3 linked regions of the Oryctolagus cuniculus genome follow. The protein of the gene in region 1 interacts with the protein of each later gene in a pairwise test. Links are inferred from orthologs where the notes say so. Each region holds a gene or a part of one and is shown on either strand. Other genes may lie near its edges. The genes, in order: ERLIN1, FA2H and AGR3.

The links.
Region 2: the proteins of ERLIN1 (region 1) and FA2H interact in binary tests that used the Homo sapiens proteins (3 or more experiments, as listed by UniProt). The two-hybrid records come from large-scale screens. The link is inferred for Oryctolagus cuniculus from reciprocal best matches to the Homo sapiens genes ERLIN1 and FA2H.
Region 3: the proteins of ERLIN1 (region 1) and AGR3 interact in binary tests that used the Homo sapiens proteins (3 or more experiments, as listed by UniProt). The two-hybrid records come from large-scale screens. The link is inferred for Oryctolagus cuniculus from reciprocal best matches to the Homo sapiens genes ERLIN1 and AGR3.

What each region holds. Positions count from the first base shown.
Region 1 is NC_091446.1:29,938,354-29,946,553, forward strand, and holds part of ERLIN1 (erlin-1), read left to right. Parts: intron 1-396; coding exon 397-443; intron 444-1,258; coding exon 1,259-1,320; intron 1,321-3,581; coding exon 3,582-3,707; intron 3,708-6,244; coding exon 6,245-6,318; intron 6,319-8,200. UniProt on the Homo sapiens protein: Component of the ERLIN1/ERLIN2 complex which mediates the endoplasmic reticulum-associated degradation (ERAD) of inositol 1,4,5-trisphosphate receptors (IP3Rs).
Region 2 is NC_091449.1:57,268,616-57,276,505, forward strand, and holds part of FA2H (fatty acid 2-hydroxylase), read right to left. Parts: exon of another isoform or gene 7,634-7,890; intron 5,113-7,633; coding exon 4,940-5,112; intron 3,220-4,939; coding exon 2,967-3,219; exon of another isoform or gene 2,820-2,966; intron 380-2,819; coding exon 300-379; 3' UTR 1-299. UniProt on the Homo sapiens protein: Catalyzes the hydroxylation of free fatty acids at the C-2 position to produce 2-hydroxy fatty acids, which are building blocks of sphingolipids and glycosphingolipids common in neural tissue and epidermis.
Region 3 is NC_091447.1:8,506,491-8,514,690, reverse strand, and holds part of AGR3 (anterior gradient protein 3), read left to right. Parts: intron 1-900; exon of another isoform or gene 901-1,142; intron 1,143-3,683; 5' UTR 3,684-3,713; coding exon 3,714-3,819; intron 3,820-8,200. UniProt on the Homo sapiens protein: Required for calcium-mediated regulation of ciliary beat frequency and mucociliary clearance in the airway. Might be involved in the regulation of intracellular calcium in tracheal epithelial cells.

The sequences.
Region 1 (8,200 bases):
TTGTGTCTTTAGTGCAAACCATAATATTAGCAGTGAAATCAAAATCCAGAGCACAAGTCCGAGCCATAGTGTTCTCATAGATTAGCCAAGAAGTGTGTAATTTCAATTCAGCTCCAGGTGAATAAGGGACTCTGGCAGAATTTTCCACTTACCAACAGATTGAACATTGAACCTTTCCCAGTGCATCTGGATTCAAACATTAGCTATGAAATGTTTTCTTTCTCAAATACTTCAATTCTAAGATACAAAAGGAAATGACTACTCTGATAGTTCAATTTTGGGGCCTGGAGCTGTCCTGTGCTTACTCCCAGCAGCTCTCCTGAGGTTTGCTTCTGGGACCACTAGTACTCTGACGAATTGTGTCTGAAGTATTGATGCTGTTTTTTTCCTCCCTAGACAACACTACAAACTGATGAAGTTAAAAATGTGCCTTGTGGAACGAGGTAAGTTTTCTCCTTGCTTAGTAATCTCCTATTAGCTCAGATGGAGCTTCTGCTCAAGTGTGTTGATCACTGAACATCTTTCAAATAGGAATGAAAGTAACCCAGAGAAGTTTATGATCTGAGCATTGTTAGCAAAGACCCATCTCTAAAATACAAGCTTTCCGTCTTAGTAGCCATAAGGGTGTTACTGAAAAATGCATGAAGTTTTAGAGCCTGATGATCTCGCTTCGTATACTTTATTGTTCAGAGAAATAGTAAAATTGAGCAGAAAGTACAGAGGTCTCATTTAACCCTTTGTCTTTACTGACTTTTCTAAGGTTAGTTTCCTCATTTGTAAAAATTGAGTAATGTAAGATCTGTCTTACAGAGTTACTTTTTTAAGGATTAGAATTAATGTATATGATGTGGTTAGCCCAGCACTTGGCCTAGAGCAGGTGTTCAGTGAAAGGTAGTTTAAAATTATGTCATCTCACGTTCTCCTGTATAGTAGTAAATGCCATCCGATGTTAGAGTTTCTGATTTGGTAGGTCTGGATGAGGCCTGAGAATTTGTGTTTCTTATATAAATTCCCAGCATTTTTGCTGTTGTTCTAAAGACCTCACTTTTAAGGTTGCTGACCTAGAGAAAGAAAGGCAAGCAAGGTCGAGGTTATTTCTAGAACATAATCACCATATTGAATTGTATCAAAATAATATGAAGCAGACCTGGTGTTTTGAGTTAATATATTTGATTATTAGTTTCTTCATAGGGCTATCTGTACCTCTCTTTTATGGATTCCTTTAATGGCTCACACTTTCTCCTGTCTTTGTTTTTAGTGGTGGAGTCATGATCTATATTGACCGAATAGAAGTGGTTAATATGTTGGCTCCTTATGCAGGTATGTTAGTACTTATAGCTTATGGTATGTTACTTATAGCTATAACCAGATTCTTTCTAACTAGAAGATTCCCCGGAAAATAGAAAAGTACTTTTAAAGTTTATTTAGAGAATAATTACTAGAATATTTTCTATTTCTAGGAAACGGAGACAGAAATAGGTCACAAATTGTGGGCAACAGACTGCAACCATATGAATTACTCTTCTCCGAGCTTAGTGTTTCCAAGAGCCAGATTATTGATTATTGATTATTTCTGGAATGAGATAGTAGCATTTTATCCAGTCAGGATGAGAGATCATTTCCTTCTGTGCTAAAAATCTATAAATAATCTCTTCCTTGGGCCACAGTGATTTGTCAAAAGAATCTTTTCTAATTGGTATTTGCTGTAAGTTGCAAAGCAATCTGAAAGTCTTCAGTGAGAGGAAAGCATTTTCTTGGTAAAAGATGAAAGTCCACGGCCGGCACTGTGGCTCAATAGGCTAATCCTCCGCCTTGCAGTGCCGGCACACCAGGTTCTAGTCCTGGTCGGGGCGCCGGATTCTGTCCTGGTTGCCCCTCTTCCAGGCCAGCTCTCTGCTATGGCCCGGGAGTACAGTGGAGGATGGCCCAAGTGCTTGGGCCCTGCACCCGCATGGGAGACCAGGAAAAAGCACCTGGCTCCTGGCTTTGGATCAGCGCAATGCGCCGGCCGTGACGGCCATTGGAGGGTGAACCAACGGCAAAAGGAAGACCTTTCTCTCTGTCTCTCTCTCTCTCACTGTTCACTCTGCCTGGAAAAAAAAAAAAAAAAAGTCCACAGACCTAGAATGGGTACTATTTAAATCAAGAACTTAGATCACCGTGAATAAAACTGAAAATATTTCAGAGCAGAGAACATATATATTCTGGTCAAAGGGATTTTGATCATGTTTTTCAGAGATTAAGTATTTCCCTCATTTTTTTTTCACCTATTTTTGCTCATCACAAATGATTGGAATAGATGATTGGAAATAGAAGAAGGGAGGGAATTTATGGGTCTGTAAGCAGAGATAAATAGGAAACTCTGAAATCACCAATTCATTTGGAAAATGCCCAAAGAATGTCAGTGTCTGTTAATGGTCTATCATCAGTTGTGATCTGGAATCCGTTTGCATGTAGTATCTGGTATGGGAAGGCTGTGAAGCAAGTCGCTGGGTCTGAAGAAACAGAACGCAAGTTTTGTAGGTAGAGCATAGTTTCTGATATGACTTGGTATGTACCTTTTGAGACATTTCTGAGGTTCTTTTAGGAAATCTTAGTTTGCTAATATGTAAGATGAGATTTTTGGCAGGTATATTACATGCTAATGTATATAAATTGTCTGACCTAAAGCTTAGCCCAGTATTAGTTCCTTTCCCTTCTAACCTGGTGTCTTTTTATAGTCTTTAAAAACTGCCTTTTAAAAATACAGTCTTTTGGCCGGTGCCGTGGCTCAATAGGTTGATCCTCCGCCTTGCGGCGCCGGCACACCGGGTTCTAGTCCCAATCAGGGCGCCGGATTCTGTCCTGGTTGCCCCTCTTCTAGGCCAGCTCTCTGCTGTGGCCAGGGAGTGCAGTGGAGGATGGCCCAAGTGCTTGGGCCCTGCACCCCATGGGAGACCAGGATAAGTACCTGGCTCCTGCCATCGGATCAGCGCGGTGCGCCAGCCGCTGCACACCGGCCGCGGCGGCCACTGGAAGTTGAACCAACGGCAAAAGGAAGACCTTTCTCTCTGTCTCTCTCTCTCTCTTTCTGTCCACTCTGCCTGTCAAAAAAAAAAAAAAAAAAAAAGTCTTTTACAGCTGCTTCCTTCTTTTATCTCCACTGTTCCTTAATTAGTTCACTTCCTCTTTACTTCTTACCTAAGCTTTTACTTTACACTAATTGTCTTAGATTCTCCCTGTGTGCCTCTGAACTCTGTGCCTCTCAGTTCATCTTCACAAAGACACCAAAATAAAAATTTTGTTTGCTCTTCTTAGTATGGAATTTGAGGTTTATCTATTAGTACTGCAAGCAAATGCAAGGATATCTGGAAAATTGAGCAGAAGAAACACATCAAAATTTTTGAGTTGTGTTTTATGTTTTCATAATGTGTATGAGGGATTTCAAAAACTTCATTGAAAGTTAGAATTGTGAAATTCATAGTATGCATTTTCCATGAACTTTTTGAAGCCCTTTGGTTTATTACTTTAATATTTATCCTGAATCTGAGAAACCTGGGTGCTTTTGGGTGAAACAAACCTGGGTTGTACCTCTCCTTCAGTGTTTGATATCGTGAGGAACTACACTGCAGATTATGATAAGACCTTAATCTTCAATAAAATCCACCATGAGCTGAACCAGTTTTGCAGTGCCCACACACTTCAAGAAGTTTACATTGAATTGTTTGGTAAGTAATAGCCTATTGGATATCTTGTAAAACTCATTTATCAATGCTGTAGTAGTATACCTTATGCTATGATAATTTCTTTTGAGTTTATAATAAAGCAATTATATAACTTGGTAGAGATTAGAGTAACTTCATTTACTCACTGTGTTGTGTTATGTTAACTTAATGACATTAGCTTTATTACTACTTAGTAGATAATTTGAGGAAATTTAGTTTCTGGGCTCCCCAAATTCCCCCTTCTCCCCCTACACCAAGTAATTTCGTAGGAAGACTGACAAGACTCAGCATAAAGTTATATTCATGACTACAATTTATTACACCCAAAAGATGAAAAGTGAAATCAGCAAAAAGAAAAGGCATATAGGTAAAGTCTGAAGGAAACCAGACACAGGCTTCCAAGAGTCCTCTCACAGTGAAGTCAACACAGGTTGTATTGAATTCTCCTGGTAACAAGTTGTGACAACACATGGGAAATGTTGTCTACTGAGGAAGTTCATTAAAGACTCAGTCTTGGCCGGTGCCGTGGCTCAATAGGCTAATCCTCCGCCTGCGGCGCCGGCACACCGGGTTCTAGTCCTAGTCCCGGTTGGGGAGCCGGATTCTGTCCCGGTTGCCCCTCTTCCAGGCCAGCTCTCTGCTGTGTCCCTGGAGTGCAGTGGAGGATGGCCCAAGTGCCTGGGCCCTGCACCCACATGAGAGACCAGGAGAGGCACCTGGCTCCTGCCATCGGATCAGCGCGGTGTGCTGGCCGCAGCAGCCATTGGAGGGTGAACCAACAGCAAAAGGAAGACCTTTCTCTCTGTCTCTCTCACTGTCCACTCTGCCTGTAAAAAAAAAAAAAAAAAAAAAAAAAAACTCAGTGTTGGGGCTGGCCCTGTGACATGGGGCCCGTGTTGTGACATAGCAGGTAAAGCCACTGCCTGCAGTGCCCGAATCTCATATGGGCACTGGTTCAAGTCCCAGATGCTCCACTTCCAATCCAACTCTCTGCTATGGCCTGGGAAAGCAGTAGAAGATGGCCCAAGTCCTTGGGCCCCTGCATCTGCATGGGAGGACCTGGAGGAAGCTCCTGGCTCCTGATTTGGATTGGCGCAGCTCCAGCCATTTTGGCCATCTGGCAAGTAAACCAGCAGATGAAAGACCTCTCCCTCTCTCTCTGTCTCTCTTTCCCTCCCTGTGTAACTCTGACTTTCAAATAAATAAATAAATCTTTAAAAAAAACAAGACTCAGTGCTGTGAGTGTTGTTGAGGTCTGGTCACATAGGTGTACCCTCTGCCAACCGATACTAAAATTCCTGTCTCCCAGGAGAAAAGCAGATGTTCAGGGTAAACCACATTGTTTATGTCAATGGTTTAGGGACCGTGAGCTTCTTGTATCAATTCAGGGGATGCCAGGGACCCTCCCCAAATCCAGGTTCCCAGCTGCCAACTAAGGGCCAGTTAACAAATAGGCCTTTGTAAGTAAGGACTGCAGTCTCAGGTCTTCGCATGAACTCTGCTGCATCACGTGAAGAGATGACATTATTACTGTACATTCTGTGTGTGTTTCAGAGACTTTTCTATGAACTTTTTTCCTTTCTTTTAAAATCCAAAGGTAAATGTAAGATTGAGGTGTGTGGGAATGAAATTTAGTTGTTTGGAAATCTGAATTAACATTGACTTAAGAGAGAAATTTGCTTTTTTATGAGAATCAGATTGCGCATTAAGTAGTAGCCGTGAATTAATAAACAAGAGACCCAAATTCTCCATTTATGGGATAGATAGATTCTATACAGTAAGCTTTTTTATTAAGTCTAATATTAAACTTTTCTAATAAATAAAAAAGAACATTTGGCAAAAAAAAATTATCTAATAAATAACTTGTCCAAAGTTCAATAATAAGCTTATTGGATAAACAGACTAGTTACTTGTTGATGGAACAAAGACATAAGCCTCAGCCATTCTTGCTCATTGCCCAAAAGATGGATAAACATTGGAATTTATTCCTTGTCCTTGAATCTCACTTGGATTTCACATCTTACTGCCTTCATACTCCATCCCCACATTCTTTTCCAGATTCCCAAGGCCCCTGAAAGACCAGTTCCATGAATTCACCTCTGCCTGCTACCCCCACCCCCAACTCCATCCCTGTCCCTCCTAAGCTATAAAAGGGCCCATCCCCTGGGGCCAGGGCATTCTGCTACATGTTCTATCAGTGTGCACACCGGCAGCTGGTCACATGACCCATCTCTGTGTATTTATTTTCTCTGAGTAAATTCGGTCAGGCTGTAGATTCATATACTGCCTCCTCTCTATTCTGCACCTCTTTTCCTGACACTTGTCATCTTCTTCCTTAATTTCTTTAATAGATCACCACACTTTTCTCCTACACAAAAGGAAAATACATATATGAAGCAGTTTAAGCTCTACTAAAAGATAATACTATTGAACTTTAGGACTAATACTTAGGTTATTGGATCGTGCCTTTGCTTTGGCTTTAATGTGTTGTGAGAAAAATTGAGTATCATGAGATCTTTTCTTCTTGGCTTTGAAAACAGATCAAATAGATGAAAACCTGAAACAAGCTCTACAGAAAGATTTAAACGTCATGGCCCCAGGTCTCACCATACAGGTAAGCACTCTTCCAAGGGAACTTGTCGGCAATTTTGAGGGTTTTGAGTTTAATCCTCCTATCATATTTAAAATACTGAAGTGCTATGGTAATTTGTAGAATACTTTTCTCAATTTGACTTTAGGTTTCCACAAAAATAAAATACTCTTGTAGCTTATTAATGGCACTTTCTTGTGAATACTTAGAGAAAATTGATAAACTGAGGCTCTTAGAAAAAATAGAATTCTTATTTCTGCCTTTGTGATACATTATTTAAATACTGTGATGGTTATAAATCAGTATAAGAGTAATCCTTGCCCTCAGTTTATGAAAAAAGACTTGAAATCTAAGAGTTGAACAATAATTCTAGACAAAATAAATATCACAAAGTTTCAGTTGCCAAATGAATTCACAGGGTGGTTATTGCTGTAAGAGACCATTTCTGTGTGGTCTGGGAAGGTTGTGACTGTGTTAAGATTTTAGGTAGGTATGGAAAAGTTCATTGAAAATTCTGTGAGAGGACTGAGAACTGGGTATTTCAGTGGGTGGATGGCCTGAGTAGCAGTTGGACTTAATAGTGAGTGTGGCAGTAGTATGTGGAGATAGAATAGTAAGAGATTACACCCTTTTCTGAATCATTGTGTTTTCAGATTTGGGGTTGAAATCCATTAATGGGTTGTGATTGAAATCCATTAATGGGTTGTAAAATCATTTTTAGTAGGTCATGACCAGCATTTTAAATAGAATGGAATAGAATAGGAAAAGAAATGGCATGTAGTAAGTTTAAGTAACTCGTGAAACTTTAAGTATATGGGGGTGGTATTTATATTGGTGTCAAAACAAACGTGTTTCTTACTGTCATCATGGGCAGTACTTTTTGAAAGCCACTACTGTGGATCTGGAGTGCCTGAAAAGTGGTAAGCCGACTTCTCTAGTGTCCCATTTCAGAGACTGCGGTAGATGAGTTGATTGTTGTGGTGAATATTGCTGCAGCTTCCTGGGGTGTCACATGTGTCTCAGTTCTTTGTGGTCAGTGGCACCGCTGTTGACCGTGTACATTCACTGTGTGTGATCATGCTTGCTTCTCATAAACCACCCTGGAATGATGGGTGAATTTTCTCCTGTGGCCTCATTCATGCTGTGCTGTTATCTAAAGAATGCCTGAGGGGAAACTGCCAAAGTTAAAGGGTCATTTGAAATGTCTGAAAGGAATCTTCTTGATGTCTAGTCACTTGTTACTGGAGTAGTTTTTTAATTTTGAAGGTAGTGAATGTGAATGTCAGAGATTCATAGATTCTTTACAGGTTCTTACTTGGAGATCTAACTCATTTTAATGGCTGTGTAGAATTCCTTGATATTCCCTGTCCTGATTTTTTGCTGTTAGTAAACAATAATGTAATGAATAATCATACATTTCCTTGTTTGTACAGATTTTCTCAAAATGGCCATACAAAGTTTATATTTTTACCTTCAGTATGTGCAAATACTTGTTTGCCCACACAACCTTATGAGCTTTGGGACCAATCACATGTGCTTATTTTTGCCATATGGATAGGTGTGAAGTTACACAAGTAGCTGTCTTTGATTTGCATTTCCTTGATTATCAGTGAAGTTGAACAGTGTGATATTTTTATTGATCATTTAAACTCAATTTTTAAAAAAGATTTATTTATTTGATTCGAAAGGTAGAGAGAGGGAGGAGGAGGTCTTCCATCTGCTCATTCATTCCCCAGTTGGTCACAACTGGGGAGCCAAGAGCTTCCTCAGGGTCTCCTGTGTGGGTGCAGGGACCCAAGGACTTGGGCCATCTTCTACTGCTTTCCCAGACCATTGCTTAGAGCTGGATTGGAAGTACAGCAGGTGGTACTTGAACCGGCATGGGATGCCGGCTTTGCAGGCGGCG
Region 2 (7,890 bases), on another chromosome or scaffold:
GTCAGTTTCCATCATTCCCCTGGGGGCTGCTGCCCTTGGCTGGTCCTGCCAACAGTCCCATGGGCTGGGGCTCCCTGCTAGGCCGCCAGCGTGGAGACCAGGCCCGTGTGTGACCCTCCCGGGGTGGCCAGGAAGGCAGTCTGGCCTCAGGGTCTCCTTGGCACCTTCTACCAAGCCCCAGGGTGGGACAAGGCCATGCTGCCTGGCCCAGCCAAGCTCTGTAGCAGAGTTTGGATGGGGGTGGGGGAGCAGGGGCCAGGGCGGGGCTGAGGACAGGTGAGGGGCGGTGCTGGGAGTTGTCACTGTGTCTTCGCATGGGGTTCCTCTGGGATGAGGGTGTGGAAAAAGTAATCCCATAATTTAGTGCTGATGCCGAAGCCTGCACAGGGAGACAGACGGGGAGAAGGTGAGGCAGTGCAATAGGAGCCGGGTCAGCGTGCTCGGGGAGTGAGCCAGGAGGGCACAAGCCAGCCTTTCTAGGCCCTGGGGCCATCCTGGCAGAGGCCCGGCCCAGCACCTGCCTTTCCTGTGTCCCCAGGGCGTGGTGGGAACTAACCCAGGTTGCTTATCTGACCTGGGATCCTGGGACAGCCCCAGCCTGCCTGCTTCCCTCTCTCCCACCTCCAGCCTCTTCCGGGTCCTCACAGTTCACCCCTGCCCCAGAGCTGCTGCCTCCTGGGGCCACGCTGGCCACACATTGGGGACACCGGCTTTTCTTCTTGTGGTTCTTAGCTCTGCTGGCAGCTCTGCAGTGCCCCCTTCCTGGGCCGTTTTTCTAGAGCTTTGCTGCCCAGCACGTGGCTTCTGTGTACTGGAAATGTGCCTGCACTCACCGCGGAACTATTGCTTTCACTTCATTAAGTTTCAGTGCAAACACGGACAGTTCGGCTACTAGAAAACGTTGAGGCATGTCTGGGGCAACTTACGTATGTGAGTCTACTTTTAGATTTTCAGTTTTATGAATCCTAGATACAGATCAAGTATTTCCAGTGAAAATGCAGCAATTAAATTGAGATGTAATGTCAGGGCAAAATAGACCCTGAATTTCAAAGACTTTGTCTAGGGGCTGGCGCTGTGGCATAGCTGGTAAAGCCGCTGCCTGCAGCACCAGCATCCCATATGGTCACCGGTTCGAGATCTAGCTGCTCCACTTCCCATCCAGCTCTCTGCTATGGCCTAGGAAAGCAGTAGAAGATGGCCCAAGTCCTTGGGCCCCTACACCCACGTGGGAGACCCAGAAGAAGCTCACGGCTCCTGGCTTTGGATTGGTGCAGCTCCGGCCATGGCGGCCATCTGGGAAGTGCACAAGTGGATGGAAGACCCCTCTGTCTGTCTGTCTGTCTGTCTCTCTCCCTCTCTCTCTCTCTCTGTGTGTGTCTCTCCTTCTCTCTCGGTGTAACTCTGACTTTCAAGTAAATAAATATATTTAAAAAAAAAAGACTTTGTCTAAGAGAAAGAATGTAAGATATCCCATTACCAGTGTTTTATGTCAGTTACATGTTAGAATAGTATGTTGGTTATATTTGATTAAATGGATACTTTATTAAAATGCTTTTTAGGACCAGGCATTTAAGACCCATGTGCTGGGGCCGGCGCTGTGGTATAGTAGGTTAAGCCCACACCAGCACCCCATTTGGTGCCAGTTAGAGTCCTGGCTGCTCCTCTTCCGATCCAGCTCTCTGCTATGGCCTGGGAAGGCAGTGGAAGATGGCCCAAGTGCTTGGGCCCCTGCACCCATGTGGGAGACCCAGAGGAAACTCTTGGCTCCTGGCTTTGGATTGGCTCAGCTCTGGCCTCTGTGGCCATTTGGGGAGTGAACCAGCAGATGGAAAATCTCTTTCTCTGTCTGTAACTCTGCCTCTCAAATAAATAAATACATTTTTTTAAGTCCCATGTTCTATAGCAGTGTGTGGTTTTCATTCCAGGCTCCTGTTCCAGCTCCCTGTTAGTGCAGACCCTGGGAGGCAGAAGTCATGGCTCAAATAATTGAGTCCCTGGTGCCCACATGGGAAGTCTGGCTTCTAGCTTTGGCTCTGGCCCAGCCCCATCTATTGTGGGCATTTGAGGAATGGATTAGCAGAAGGGAGCTCTCTGCCCCATAAATTAAAAAAATGATTTTCAGTTCTATCTTTTTACTATAAAGTTATTTATTTATTTGAGAGGAAGAGAGAGAGACAGACACAGAGAGATAGTCTATTTACCAATTCATTCCCCAAATGATTGCAACAGTTGGGGCTGGGTCAGAGCCTAGGTCAGAAGCTGGGAACTCAATCCAGGTCTCCCACATGGGTGGCAGGAACCCAATTACTTGAACCATCACTGCTGCCTGCTAGGAGCTGCATTAACACAAATGTGGAGTCAGAGCTGGAGTTGCGTGTTAAACCCAGGTACTCTCAGGTGGGATGTGGGCATCCTAACCAGTGGCTTAACTGCAAAGCCAAATGCCTGTTTGTTTTTTACTTTTAATGTGGCCACTAGAAAGTTTAAAATCATCTATGCGGCCTGCATAGTACAGCTATCACCTGTCACTTGGTGGGGATGTGTTTTGAGAAATGTCTTGCTGGGCAGTTCCATCATGGTGAGAACATCGGTGTACTTACACAAACTAAGGCAGCTGTAATGAGATGAAGTGCTATAGTCCTACACGACCACTGCTGTATCCAGGGTCCACGGCTGACCACCACAATCTTGTTGTGTGGTGCATGACTGCATTTTAATGGGCAGTGCTGGGCCCCCTCCCCCCACCCAGGGTTACTCAAGTATCACCTTGCTTTATTTTCCTTTAATGGCATTTCTGTTCCTTGTCTGTCTCTGCACAGCCACCTGCACCCGTGAGCAGGATGGAGGAAGCTCTGTGTGTGCCCCAGCACCGAAGACAACGCCTGGCCCTTCGCAGGGATTCAACAGCTGTTGTCCAGTCGATCCCGGGCCAACAGGGGAGGCGGGGAGGCTCCAGCCTGTCTCACCTGACTTCTGATGTGCAAAGTGGTGCTTGACGTGGTGCGCCTTCATGCTGTACAGGTAGGAGCCCTTGTTCGGCGAGCCAAAGTGCAGGTAGTAATGGGTCATGTCGTAGAGGACATAGCCCAGGAGGCCCCCAGCGAACATCGTGCCCCCCACCGCCTCGGGCAGGATGAGCCGCAACAACACGTAGAAAAAGGCGATCACCAGAGAGGCCGGCACGGGGGGAAAGACCAGGCGGGAGCCGTCGAAGGGTGCCTGTGGATGGAGAGGCCCGAGTGTCAGAGGTGGCGCTGGCTCGGGGTCGCAGCGTGCCTCACTGGAGACGCTCCCCAAGATGAGCGTGGAGCAGCCCGAATGTTTCCAGTGAGGGGACAGGGACCTGTCTTGGGTGGGCCTGGCGTGTTTGGTGGCTTTGGGAAGGGCAGGCCACCCAAGTCCAAAGCCCTGGAGAGATTGCCCGATCCAGGAACACAGGGCCAGGTGTGACGTGGGAGGGAGCGGATGCAGGTGTGCTGATGGCTCAGGGCCCACCTGGAACTCAAGGGACCACGTGGGCCCTGGTGCCAGACAGGAAGGCTCAAGGGGCTTTCTGGAGACAGGGGGCCTAGCCTGAGGCCTGCGATCTGGGAGGGTGTTCCCGGAAGTGTTGTGCAGAGATGTGGTTTGCACCGCCACCTCCCCACACAAGGCCCTCTGTGCAGGGACAAAGCAGGTGTTGCCAACAGAGATCCGCAGGTGTGGGCCTCCCTTCCTCAAACCATGGCAACAGGGCCAGTGCTGTGCAGGGAAGCAGTGCTCAGACAAAGGCAGGCAGGCTGGGGGCAGAAGGGATAAAAAGCAGGAGGGAGGATGAGGGCGCCCAGGTCAGCAGCGTTTGCCGATTCCTGCAGTGTAAACACTCCTGACGTGGCCAGGGTCAAATTAGGCATGAGCCCAGGCCACAGACCCCTAGACACAAAGGCTTGGGTATCTGAGGAGGTGGCGGTGGGCCACACAAGCTCCTCCTGTCCTTGTGCTGTGCCATGACGGGACTGCGTGTACTGAGGTGGAAATGTCTTGGAAGAGAGAGCCCGAGACAGTCCCTCCAGCCCCCAGAGGGTCCGTTTGTCCCCTGAAGATGGGAAAGTTGACCAATAGGGAGCGATAGATCTGAGATGTCGTGAGGGGGGTGAGGGACAGGGCCTGGACAGCAGAGGCCCGATGGGCTGGCGTCAGCCTAGAAAGAGGACACTGGCCGTGGCACCTCTTAGAGCCAGGCTGGCCCAGGACTGGATGTTCACCCAGATACAGGCTGCCACGTGAGACTCCCAGAACACAGCTCAGCACTGGGAAGAACAGGAGGGCAGCCCACCCCAGCAGAGAAGAGAAAGTGGGGGAAGGCCCTGCCTTGGAGGAGATGGCGGCGAAGGGGCCCCTGGGCCAGGCCGAGGACAGCACTGTGCAGGCACAGCAAAGCTGCCAGGGGGAGGTAGCTCCCTGGGGCCGACCTGGCTTCCAGTCCCACCTCTGGGCTGATACTCCCAGGGCCAGCGGGTGCTGGTGAGAGCAGCCACATGGTGGGGGACAGCGTGCTGGTTGTGCCTGCCTGACCCTGGGTGAGTCCCTTAGTACATTAATTCCCCCTGGCCTACTTCCTGCTCTGTGGAATTGGGGAAAACTGCAGGTGCTTCGCCTGCTTGGGTCACTGATGCTTGGCACATGGTAGGCATTCAGCCTCAGAACACTTGCAGAATGAATGAGTGAATGAGCTGTGCAGATTCACGAGGCTCATGGAGGGTGACGCAGAGGCACACGTGCACACATATGTACACACACGCACAGCATTTACATGCATGCTTATGCACACATGTGCACACACATACTCACTCACTCACTGTCCCGTCTTGCTCAGATTAGGATGCCTGGGCCCGTCTCCCCCCTGTGCAGCCTCCGATGCCTCGGGTTTGCCGATGTCCCACCCCACGGCCACACCCACCTTGTGGTGCTGGCCGTGCAGCACGAAGTGCAGCGTGATGAGGCAGTAGCTGTCGCTGGGGGGCTTCATGTGGAACAGGAAGCGGTGGATGAGGTACTCAATGAGGCTCCACAGGAACATGCCCAGCACGAAGAGGCCGGGGAACGCGGACTCGGGCACCGCCACCGAGTACTCTGCAGGGGCGGCAGAGAGGGGGGCAGGCAGGGTCAGGGCCAGCGGGTCCCGGGTGCAGCAGCGCCTGCCTGGCGGCTCCAAACGTCCCTGTTTCATCACCCGGGGCAGCGTGGGAGTGGCTGCCCTCTGTCCAGCACCTGTGGCGTCCTGGCCCTGTCGTTGGGGCAGAACGGGAAGGAGGCCGAGAGGGTCTGTTGTGGTTTAGGAGAGAGCTGCTCTTTTCCCTGGGGGGGTGGGTAGAGCTGCAGGAGGGGAAGGGGACCAGCAGCTGAGCCGGTGGGGTCAGGGGCTACGGATGAAAGACATCGCTCAGAGCCTGCAGGGCCAGAGGACAGGAAGAGCCAAGGACAGGGGTGTTAGGGAGAAGCAGCTGGGGGAGATCTGGAAGTAGCAGATGAGGCCAGCCTGGAGACGGACCGTCAAGGGCAAGGGGCCCACTCTCCAGTCCCCCCACCCCCCATGACCCCTGTGGTCCCTGCAGCTCTGTGTCATTCCTCCACTTGGCTCATTCTTTGGCCTCCTGGGAACTTCACCTCTCACACCTGTCTCCTCCATTTCCATCCTCACCCTCTTAGCTTTTCCTTTCTCCACAAACCATTGCTTGGGCCATGCTTTCTCTTTTTAGGTAGCAGCTTTATTGAAACATGACATGTGAGCATGCAGCTCATCGTATGAAGCACGATCCGTGGTTTGGAGTCTTAGAGTTGTGCAGTCACCACCACGGTCATGGTTAGGACATTTATTTTTTTATTTATTTTATTTTTTGACAGGCAGAGTGGACAGTGAGAGAGAGAGACAGAGAGAAAGGTCTTCCTTTGCCGTTGGTTCACCCTCCAATGGCCGCCGCGGCCGGCGCGCTGCGGCCGGCGCACCACGCTGATCGGATGGCAGGAGCCAGGTGCTTATCCTGGTCTCCCATGGGGTGCAGGGCCCAAGCACTTGGGCCATCCTCCACTGCACTCCCTGGCCACAGCAGAGAGCTGGCCTGGAAGAGGGGCAACCGGGACAGAATCCGGTGTGCCGGCGCCGCTAGGCGGAGGATTAGCCTAGTGAGCCACGGCGCCGGCAGACTTTTTTTTTTTTTTTTTTTTGACAGGCACCTATGTGGTTCAGCTTGGGAGCAGCTGCTGGGCTGGTTTCCAAAGCCAGTGATTCTCCTTGGATCTTTCCTCCTTCCCTGGTTCCATTCACCCCAGGCCTCGATCAGCACCAGAGTCTGCCACTCCATCTCGTACCCAGGCGGCTTGGCCAGCTGCTGGTGTGTTCAACTTCAGCAAGACCCCAAGCCCTGCCTGGTGGTCCTTCAGCATCTACCACTCCTCTCCGCCCTCAGACACCCTCCCCCCTTCCACGCAGCCTCCGCTTCACGGAGAAGACAGGCCTATTGTGGGGCAGGGCGGGGCGAGCTGTCGCCTCCAGTCCTCCCTTCCTCCTCTGTCCACCTGGGGCATCCTTGTTGCTTCCTGGGGAGGCGTGACCCAGGCAGGCTCCAGGCCATGGGTGATCAGGAAAAGACATGGCGGCAGACACAGGTGGCCCAATGCCGCACTTCGGTGGTTCTACGTTCTGTCACCACACCCTTATGTGAGGGTGCGCTGGCACTGCCTCCGCGAGGCGGGTGTGGAGGAACAGGCGGCCGTCACCACTTGCCAGGGTCACCCTACTAGGCAGCCGCCTCCATGCCAGCCAAGTCTCTGGGCACAGCCCCCTCTGCTCATCTTTCACTTCACCTACTGACAGCTGGGCCAGACTCGCACCTCCACCTCACTGGTTCCTGAGGCCTTATCAAGTCCCTAAAAACTGCCTTCTGCCCTGTTTTCCAGAATTGCAAAGGCCATTCATGATGTATTTCTGCTAAATCAAAGTAATTTTCTGATCCTTCTCCCACTTGGCTGGGCCATGTGACATTAGTGACCACTCTCTTCTTGAATCTGTAACAGCATGCATTCTTCTTCTTCTAATTAGAATATTATTTATGCGAGGAAGACAGAGAACTCCCACTGCTGGTTCACTCCCCAAATGCCTGCAACAGTGGGGGTTGGGCTGGGCCAAAGCTGGGAGCTGGTAATGTAGTTGGCATTTGGTGGTAGAAACTCAGTTCGTGGAGAGAATCCAACTATTTGAGCCATTGCTGCTGCCGCCCAGGGTGTATATCAGCAGAAAGCTTAAATCAGTAGCCAGAGTCAGGGATCAAAGCCCAGCACACGGATGTGGAAGGTGGGCCTGATCATTAGGTCAAATGCCTGACTATGCATTGGATCCCCACCTGAGCCTTACGAACATCAGGGGCTCCGAAGCTGGATTTTAGGGTGTTCTGGAACCTACTGAAGTGACCACACTATTATGCACCTGTGTGCATTTTCCTGGGGAGAGAGTCCACAGCTTCTCAGAGTCTAAAAGGGGCTGGGGTCAATGACGAGCACACACTGTTCCACCCCTGCCTGCGGGGCCCACGTTTTCTCCTCTTGGCTGGACACTTCCTCTTAGGCTTCATGGTAGAAACTCTGCCTCTGTCCCCAGGGTCCAAGCCTTGATCCTCCATCTTCTCTGCTCCATCCCTGGCGACCACCACACCCTCCACGATGCTTTCCTGCACATCTGTGTCCACCTCAGCCCTGCATGGCCACCTGCACTGAGCATCTCCAGGGAAGAGGGAGAAATGGGGGCTCCAGGGTTTGCTCTGGAGGTGATGGGCGTGTTTTAGATGCAGAGGTGGTGGATGTAATAAACGCCACTGAACTGCACGCTCTCAAGTGACTAATTTTCTATTATATGAA
Region 3 (8,200 bases), on another chromosome or scaffold:
GCTATGTTTAAATGATCAACTTTTGCTGTTTAAAAATGAGGCTTTCAGGAAAGGGTGGGGAAAGTGAATGGAACTGTGTTTTTCTTCTCTTACTGGACTGAATTTCCTTTGCTGGCCTCACAGTTTTATTCTCTATTTATACGGATGTTAGAATATAAACTGGCATCAACCAAAAATGACTCTTTAAAAATTAGTCTATAGGGAACACTGGTTCTTCCCACTATCCTTTGTGTGTATGTGTGTGTGTATGTGTGTTTTAAATATAGAGATTTTTAATACAATATTTAAGTAAGTGGCTTGTGTTGAATTATTTTGAAATGCAAAATGCTATTATTGTAAGAAAATGCTAACTGGACAATGTTTATAAAGGCAAATTGTGCTGTAACCTGCTGTGGCATCATGACCAAGTCTCCTTCATCCCTGTACCCCCTTCATCCCTGTACCCCCTTCAAAGAAGCTTGCCTTTGCAATGGGGACTAAAGCACCCTCAGTCACCCACATTCCACTTCACCAAGGAAAGCACTGTTCATTCAAAACCAACAATGGGCAAGTTGTAGCGCTTTGTTGTAGTCTATTTTAATTTACCAACCATGTAAAACAGAAAACTAAGATTTTGAGTTAAGCAGAAAGTCTTTGGTAATACATAAATACTTGACATTTGAAAGAAAAAAAAAGTTTCCCATTCACCTCTAAATTTGGCAGCTTTAAAATGGCAAGAGAGGGAGTTACACTTTCTAATGTAGATTCCACCTGCTTATCTCCACCTCTAACGTGGAAAACATTGCCAGTACTTCCCGCAGTTGGGTGTTCCCTGAGTCTTCTTTACGTATAAGAAACTTAAGGCAATGTGGGACCATTTTCCCTAGGAAAGTGAACAGAGGCACACACACCCATACATACAGTTTCAGGGAGTTTTGAGCTTCCTGTAGCCATCCACAGACCTTCTAGAAGCTCACTGGATCCAGGTGAACAGGCTGTCCCAGGGGGTCCCTTCATTCTGTCCACTGCCACTTACACCTTGACCAAGGTCCCTGCCCAGGCTTGGCTCTGTGTTCAGACTCAGCTGTCTCTCAGCCCTACTGGAATCCACCCTTGCTTGGATTCAATCTTTAAGGTACAAGATGACCAGCCCTCGGGGTACAGGAAGATATTCTGCAATGTTTTATGGTTTAACAAGTTATAAGAACTTGAATTGAGATCTTTATCTGGCACCATGGTTACTGTTTAACAGAATTGTTTAGTGGGCAAAGACAAGAAAGTAGAACAAAAGGAGTTAGTTGTAGATTCTGGAGGCAAATCATTTAAATTCAGCAAACCTGGAGTGACAACCCTTTCAGTCCAGAGCTGGGCTGGAAGAGACACCCCACTGAGAAGAGGCACACACTGGCACCAGAGGAATGCGGAACTGTCTGGAAAAACCCATCCTCTGTAAACCTCACCACCACCACACTGCTGCTCTCCATGACTACAGTTGTTGTTTACCTGACTACACTATGGCAAGTGCCACTGGTTTTACCAATGCCAAAGCACTGGGCCTGCTTAGAGTTTCAGTTTTGTACAGTGACTAACACAGCTCACTGCAGAAACTTCTATGTATGACCAATCACTGAAGAGTCATTCACTGTACTTCAGCCAGGAAATTGCACTATTTTAGTGAGACGTTCACCACTGAATAACATAAATCATCAGGGGGGAAAAAAACTGTAAAGGAACTTTAAATAAACCTGAAGGACAACTGTCCATCATTTATTTCCTACTTTGAGATGAAGTTTCAGAATTGCATGTGGGATTTATATGCTAAGAATACTGTAACTAAACAACATCTCACAAGTATGGAACATACTTTGTAATGCATTTACCAAGTGGTTTAAGACCAACTCAGGCCACACTCTGGACTTTTGATTAAATCTTACCATGCAAAGTATAAAAAAGAAAAGCACACTAACTTTAGAATCAATTGTAATGTTAGCTAACAAAAAATATGAACTCCACTCTATTCTATATACATATGTTTAAGTCACAGCAATATGCCAATGTTTGATTTTTGGAAAAGAGGTGAAGGGCAGAGGGGCTGAGTGACCATTGGAGTGACTGACCATAAAGGAATTGAAGGACAAGGACTCTTCGTGGTCTAACTTTCCCCTGATTCCTGTTTCAAGCAGTCTTTGTTCATGCTTAGCCTCAGCATGATACAGAGTTAAAATGTTGTTTTAATCACTGGGTCTAGAAGAATCAAGAGGCAAAGGCTATCCCTGGCTGGTAGACCTCACCTTTGTATCGCTCTTTACAATTCCAAGGCCATTAACAAACACCATCTTGTTCGCGTTTCTCTGTGGGGCTGTGCAGTTTGGCAGCAGGTTTCATGTGCCTGTGTTACCAGTGAATGGCAGGGTTCTTGTCTTCGCACAAGAAAGAATTCAGGCATGAGACAGAGTGGTGGAAAGTAAAATAGCAAGGTTTATTAGGGTAGGGATATCCGTAAGAACAGATGGGCACCTCTCCAGACAGAACCTGAGAGAGAGTGCCCAGTCACTTAGACTGGGGGAGAGCGAGGTTCCATGGTTGAGTGGAGAAGACACCTGACCAGGCCAGGTGGGCGGCTCAGCAGAGAGGCAGAGGGCTGAGCGCGCAGTCCAGTTGAGGCCAGGGGTTTTTAAGGAGATGGGTCTTTGTCTTCTCACATCTCCTCCTGAAACAAAAGACTTTATGGGTGTAAATACTAGAAATTCCTATCTGAGTTTTCTCCCAGAAGTTATCAAACAAGAGGAAGCCTAGCTGGTGCCACCCTGGGTTTAGAGGAAGGGTGAGCAAGACCCCCTGGAGGATCTGAGCAGGGTATTTGAAATGCAGATACTGGGCTGCATCTGGAAGATTATCAGGCAGAAGGGGCGGGGACCCCCACCTGGCAGGTTATTGGGTAGAAGGAGCAGGGCAGGATGCAAACACTGGGCTGCCCCTGAAACATTATTGGGATGGCTTTGAGATGCATATGTTGAACCCAAATTCTCCTTAGGCCTTTGTCACACACATAAGCTCATATCTGACTTCCTACCTAACACCTGGATCCAGTTCTCTCTTAGTTGCCTCACCCTATGTGCAGGATGCCCAGAATGTGATTTTTCACCAAGTGAGCATTCACAGAGTTGATTCCACTTCTAAGATATTTATTAAGAATAAAACCTGGGGCTGGCACCATGGCTCACTAGGCTAATCCCCCACCTGCAGTGCCAGTATCCTGGGTTCTAATCCCAGTTGGGGCACGGATTCTGTCCCGGTTGCTCCTCTTCCTGTCCAGCTCTCTGCTGTGGCCCAGGAGTGCAGTGGAGGATGGCCCAGGTGCTTGGGTCCTGTGCCCACATGGGAGACCAGGAGGAAGCACCTGGCTCCTGGCTTTGGATCCACACAGCACGCCGGCCATGACAGCCATTTGGGGGGGTGAACCAATGAAAGGAAGACCTTTCTCTCTGTCTCTCTCTTGCACTGTCTACTCTACCTGTCAGAAAAGAAAAGAAAAGAAAGAAAGAAAAAAGAATAAAACCTGGATGAAAGGGTGGGTAGACTGAGTCAGATTAAGGAAGCAGAATGATTCATCCACACAGGCTGGGACCAGCTCTAAGTAAATGTCTTTTAACATGGCCTGAAGTAACCCAGTAAGGTCCTGAACATTATCTTCTGTCCTCCAGCTTCTCCCGAGGAACGTTCTAGAAGGCACCATGTTACACTATGCTTTGGCTCTCTGCCTCCTCCTTATCACCATCTCTTCTAACCTTGCTATTGCCATCAAAAAGGGAAAGAGGCCTCCTCAGACACTCTCAAGAGGTATGGTATTCTTTATGTCATTTCCTAAACTCAATCATTTGCATTGTTTGAAAAATACTTGATATCTTCACCCATACTCTAGTTATGAAGCAAATTCAATTAACTGAAAGATTTCTATTGTGTGGCTCCAAAGGTGATTTTTAAAGACAAACAGGAAGGATCCATTGAGTTTTGACAGTGAATTAAACCAACTGGGAAAAAATAACAACAATTTCCTGGGCCAAGCATTTGGCCTATATCCCACATTGGAATGCCTGGGTTCAAAACCCACCTCTTGCTCTCATCTCCAGCTTTCTGCTAACATGTGCCCTGGGAGAAGGCCATGATGGCTGAAGTAATTCAGTCACTGCCACTAACGTGGGAGACCTGGAATAAGTTACCAGCTCCTGGTTTTGGCTTGGCTCAGGCCCAGCTGTTGCAGACATTTGGGTAGGGAATCAACAGATGGGAGCTCTGTTCCTGTCTCTGTCTCTCAAAAAAAATCTAAAATTTAAAAAAAAAAAATACATGTCGTATCTTTTAGCAAAAGTAGTGGAGAACTGAATTCCTCTCTACAACTATGATAACCAGAGTCGTAGAGAATGATTAATATGATTGATGGGTATATCATCATAATATCTTAAAAATACCTAAATTCTTCGAAATGTACTCAAATTCCAAGTCCTGCTTATTAAGAAAATAATTTGGACTGATTTTATACAAAGTTACCCAAAAAATTAAACTTTATCCAAATTCCTGAGAATTTAGGCCAGTCTTGCTATATTGATTCCCAAAGACACATGCACCGGTTTTGGGTGTCATAAGCTGGATTTATCATTGGCTTTGGGATTAGAAAACATTTTTCTTTCTGTGATGTTTTTCTTGGCTTAAGAAACAAACATAACTTCAGGTATAAATAGACATTTTTATAAGGGAAAAATTCCCAAAACTGGTTTCTACAATTTCCTGGTAAGTTAGAACCATCTATCCTCACTCGGGGAATTCAAAATCAGCAGTTCAACTACAAGAGCACTTGAGCACTGTTTGGAAAGATCACATGAATAGAGCGAGGAAATGAAGACCTCCTGTGGTATGATTTCAAATTCTAAAACATTTATTTGCTTATCAAGTCCACTCATTTCTTAACAGATGTACTGGGTGCCAGCCAAATGCCTACTGGGGTTTACCTGATAACTCATTCTACTTCAGTTTAGCAATCACAGCAACTATATACTAGAGACTCAGTAACTTTTTGCCAAGGAAATCAATTGAAAGGGAGAAATGTAATTTATTATATATCCCTCTATATAGACATAAAGATAATAGAACAGAGAGGTCAAGTAATTTTTTTTAAAAGATTTATTTATGTATTTGAAAGTCAGTGTTACACAGAGAGAGAAAGAGAGAGAGAGGAGGTGTCTTCCATCCACTGGCCCACTCCCCAGTTGGCCACAACAGCCAGAGCTGTGTGGATCTGAAGCCAGGAGCCAGGAACCTCCCCCAGGTTTCCCAAAGGGGTACAGGGGCCCAAAGACTTGGGCCATCCTCTACCCCTTTCCCAGGCCATAGCAGAGAGCTGGATCGGACGTGGAGCAGCCAGGACTCAAACCAGCAGCCATATGGGAAGCCAGCACTGCAGACTAGGGCTTTAACCCACTGTGCCACAGCACCGGCCCTGGTCAAGTAACACTTTAGTGGCAAAGACTAAACTAGGCATTGACTCTGATGAGCTTCCAGGACTGAGAGAAGCCACGTTGCTACACCTGCACCTACCATAAGACGTCAACATGCTCTGTGCTCACTTTTAAATGTCGGCTTAAAATTTTTTGGTGAATGTTATGAAAAATATATTAAACAGAAACAGCATATGCATACAACTTAATGGATCTCCTATTACAATTATTAATGAACTATTTTGATAGCAAGGATGTGATAATAACTGAGAACCCCATTGTTAAAACTTGGCTTCTATGTAGTTTTGCTTGTTGCCATCTATTGCCATTTAGGAAACCAAGAGAAAAGGCTCAGAATGAATGAGGGTTAAAAGGGGAAGAGGGAAGGATGTGGGTACAGGATGCGAAGTAGCACTTGGAGCCCCTGAAAGCAGAGGGCAGCAGTAAGCAGCTAAATAAACAGACAGTAAGGCGAAAAACAAGATAATTAATTGGATCAAGGCAATAGATGGTTCAAGAAACAAAAGCACAGGTACATACAATGACTCAAAAAATGTCTTACTTCTTTTGAATCAAGACAGCCGCCCAGCACCCAGTGCATTGCCTGACATACTCAATAACACGTATTACAGGAGTGAATGAAACCTCAGAAGGCAAAGAAAGCAAAGACAGTTTACAGGTGGGATTAAAAGCAATGAACAGAGATCCCGAGAGGACCTCAACTTCTGAGTGCCCTTTGCCCTATTATGACTACGAGACAGAACATATCAAAACAAGTAGACTAGAACACAGCTGCTGATGGGGCTGTGAGTGATTCTTTGAGGGTTGGATTATATTACTTAACGTTTGTATTCGCAGTGCCCAGTAAAGTAAGCAGACACTCTTTGATGTTTGTGGACCCATGTTGAATAGGAATACACAATGTAAGTTCTGCCCATTGCTGACACTCCAGCATTGAGTGATGTTTGCAGCAACAGAAGAGGGAAAATTAAGCAGGGGCATAATCACACCTGCTGTTCTAGAACAGCGTTCCTTTGATGTGTAATGAATGTGGGAAGCAGAGTTGGAAGAGAATCAAGATTAGGACAAAGATGAAGTTTCTGCTAAGATGAGGTGTTAGATGAACATGAACATGAAAGAGCCTTCCAATGTTAAGAGTTTCAAAGCAGGCAAAAACAAACCGGCAACATTGCTGGTGTGAATGTGGAATGATGCAGCCACCTTGGGAAAAACAGTCTGGCAGTTCAATTCAGCAGTTTTGCTCCTGTGTGTATACCCACACCAAAGCTTGCACACTTAGGATCACAGCAGCATTACGCATTAAAAAAAGCCAAAAAATGGAAACAACCCAAAGGCCCATCAACTGATGAAAGGATTAGTAAAACGGGGTATAGCAATATAATGCAATGATATTTAATCATCAAAAAGGAATTAAATACTAATGCATGCCACAACATGGATGAATCTTAAGAACGTTATGCTAATTGAAATAATCCAGTGACAAAATATCACATAGCAAATGATTCCATGTATACAAACTGTGCACAGTTAGCAAATCGATGGTATATAGGATCGAGGAAGAAGAAGAGATCTGGGATTGGGGGGCATGATAGCTAAAGGCCACAGGGGTTTTCTTAGGTAATGAAAATGTCCAAAAATGATTGCAGCACAACTTTTTTTTAAGAAATCTTTTATTTAATAAATAAATTTTGAAAGTACAACTTTTGGATTGTAGCGGTTTTCCCCCCATAACCACCCTCCCACCTGCAAACCATCCCATCTCCTACTCCCTCTCCCATCCCATTCTTCATGGATAATCCTCCACCTGCGGTGCCAGCACCCCGGGTTCTAGTCCCGGTTGGGGCGCGGATTCTGTCCCAGTTACTCCTCTTCCAGTCCAGCTCTCTTCTGTGGCCCGGGAAGGCAGTGGAGGATGGCCCAAGTGCTTAGGCCCTGCACCCACATGGGAGACCAGGAGGAAGCACCTGGCTCCTCTCTTCGGATCGGCGCAGCGTGCCGGCCATAGCAGTCATTTGTGGGGTGAACCAACGGAAAAAGGAAGACCTTTCTCTCTCTCTCTCTCTCACTAACTCTGCCTGTCAAAAAAACAAAAAAGATTCATTTTTAATTTTCTTTACATACAAAAGATTAACTTTGTATATACTAAATAAAGATTTCAACAGATTGCACCCACACAGACACACAAAGTATAAAGTACTGTTTGAAGACTAGTTTTACCATTAATTCTCATACTACAACTCATTAAGGACAGAGATCCTACATGGGGAGTAAGTGCACAGTGACTCCTGTTGTTAACAATTGACACTCTTATTTATGATGTCAGTAATCACCCGAGGCTCTTGTCATGAGCTGCCAAGGCTGTGGAAGCCTCTTGAGTTCACCAACTCCAGCCTTATGTAGACAAGGCCATAACCAAAGTGGAAGTTCTCTCCTCCCTTCAGAGAAAGGTACCTCCTTCTTTGATGGTCCGTTCTTTCCGCTGGGATCTCACCCACTGAAATCTTTCACTTAGGTCATTTTTGGCCACAGTGTCTTGGCTTTCCATGCCTGAGAAACTCTCATGGCCTTTTTAGCCAGATCCGAATGCCTTAAGAGCAGATTCTGAGGCCAGAGTGTAGCACAACTTTGTGAATTTTTTTTTACTAGAAAAAGTGTACAGTGTCACAGCTGAGCATGTATTGGTATGTGAGTTGTATTCCAATAGTTAC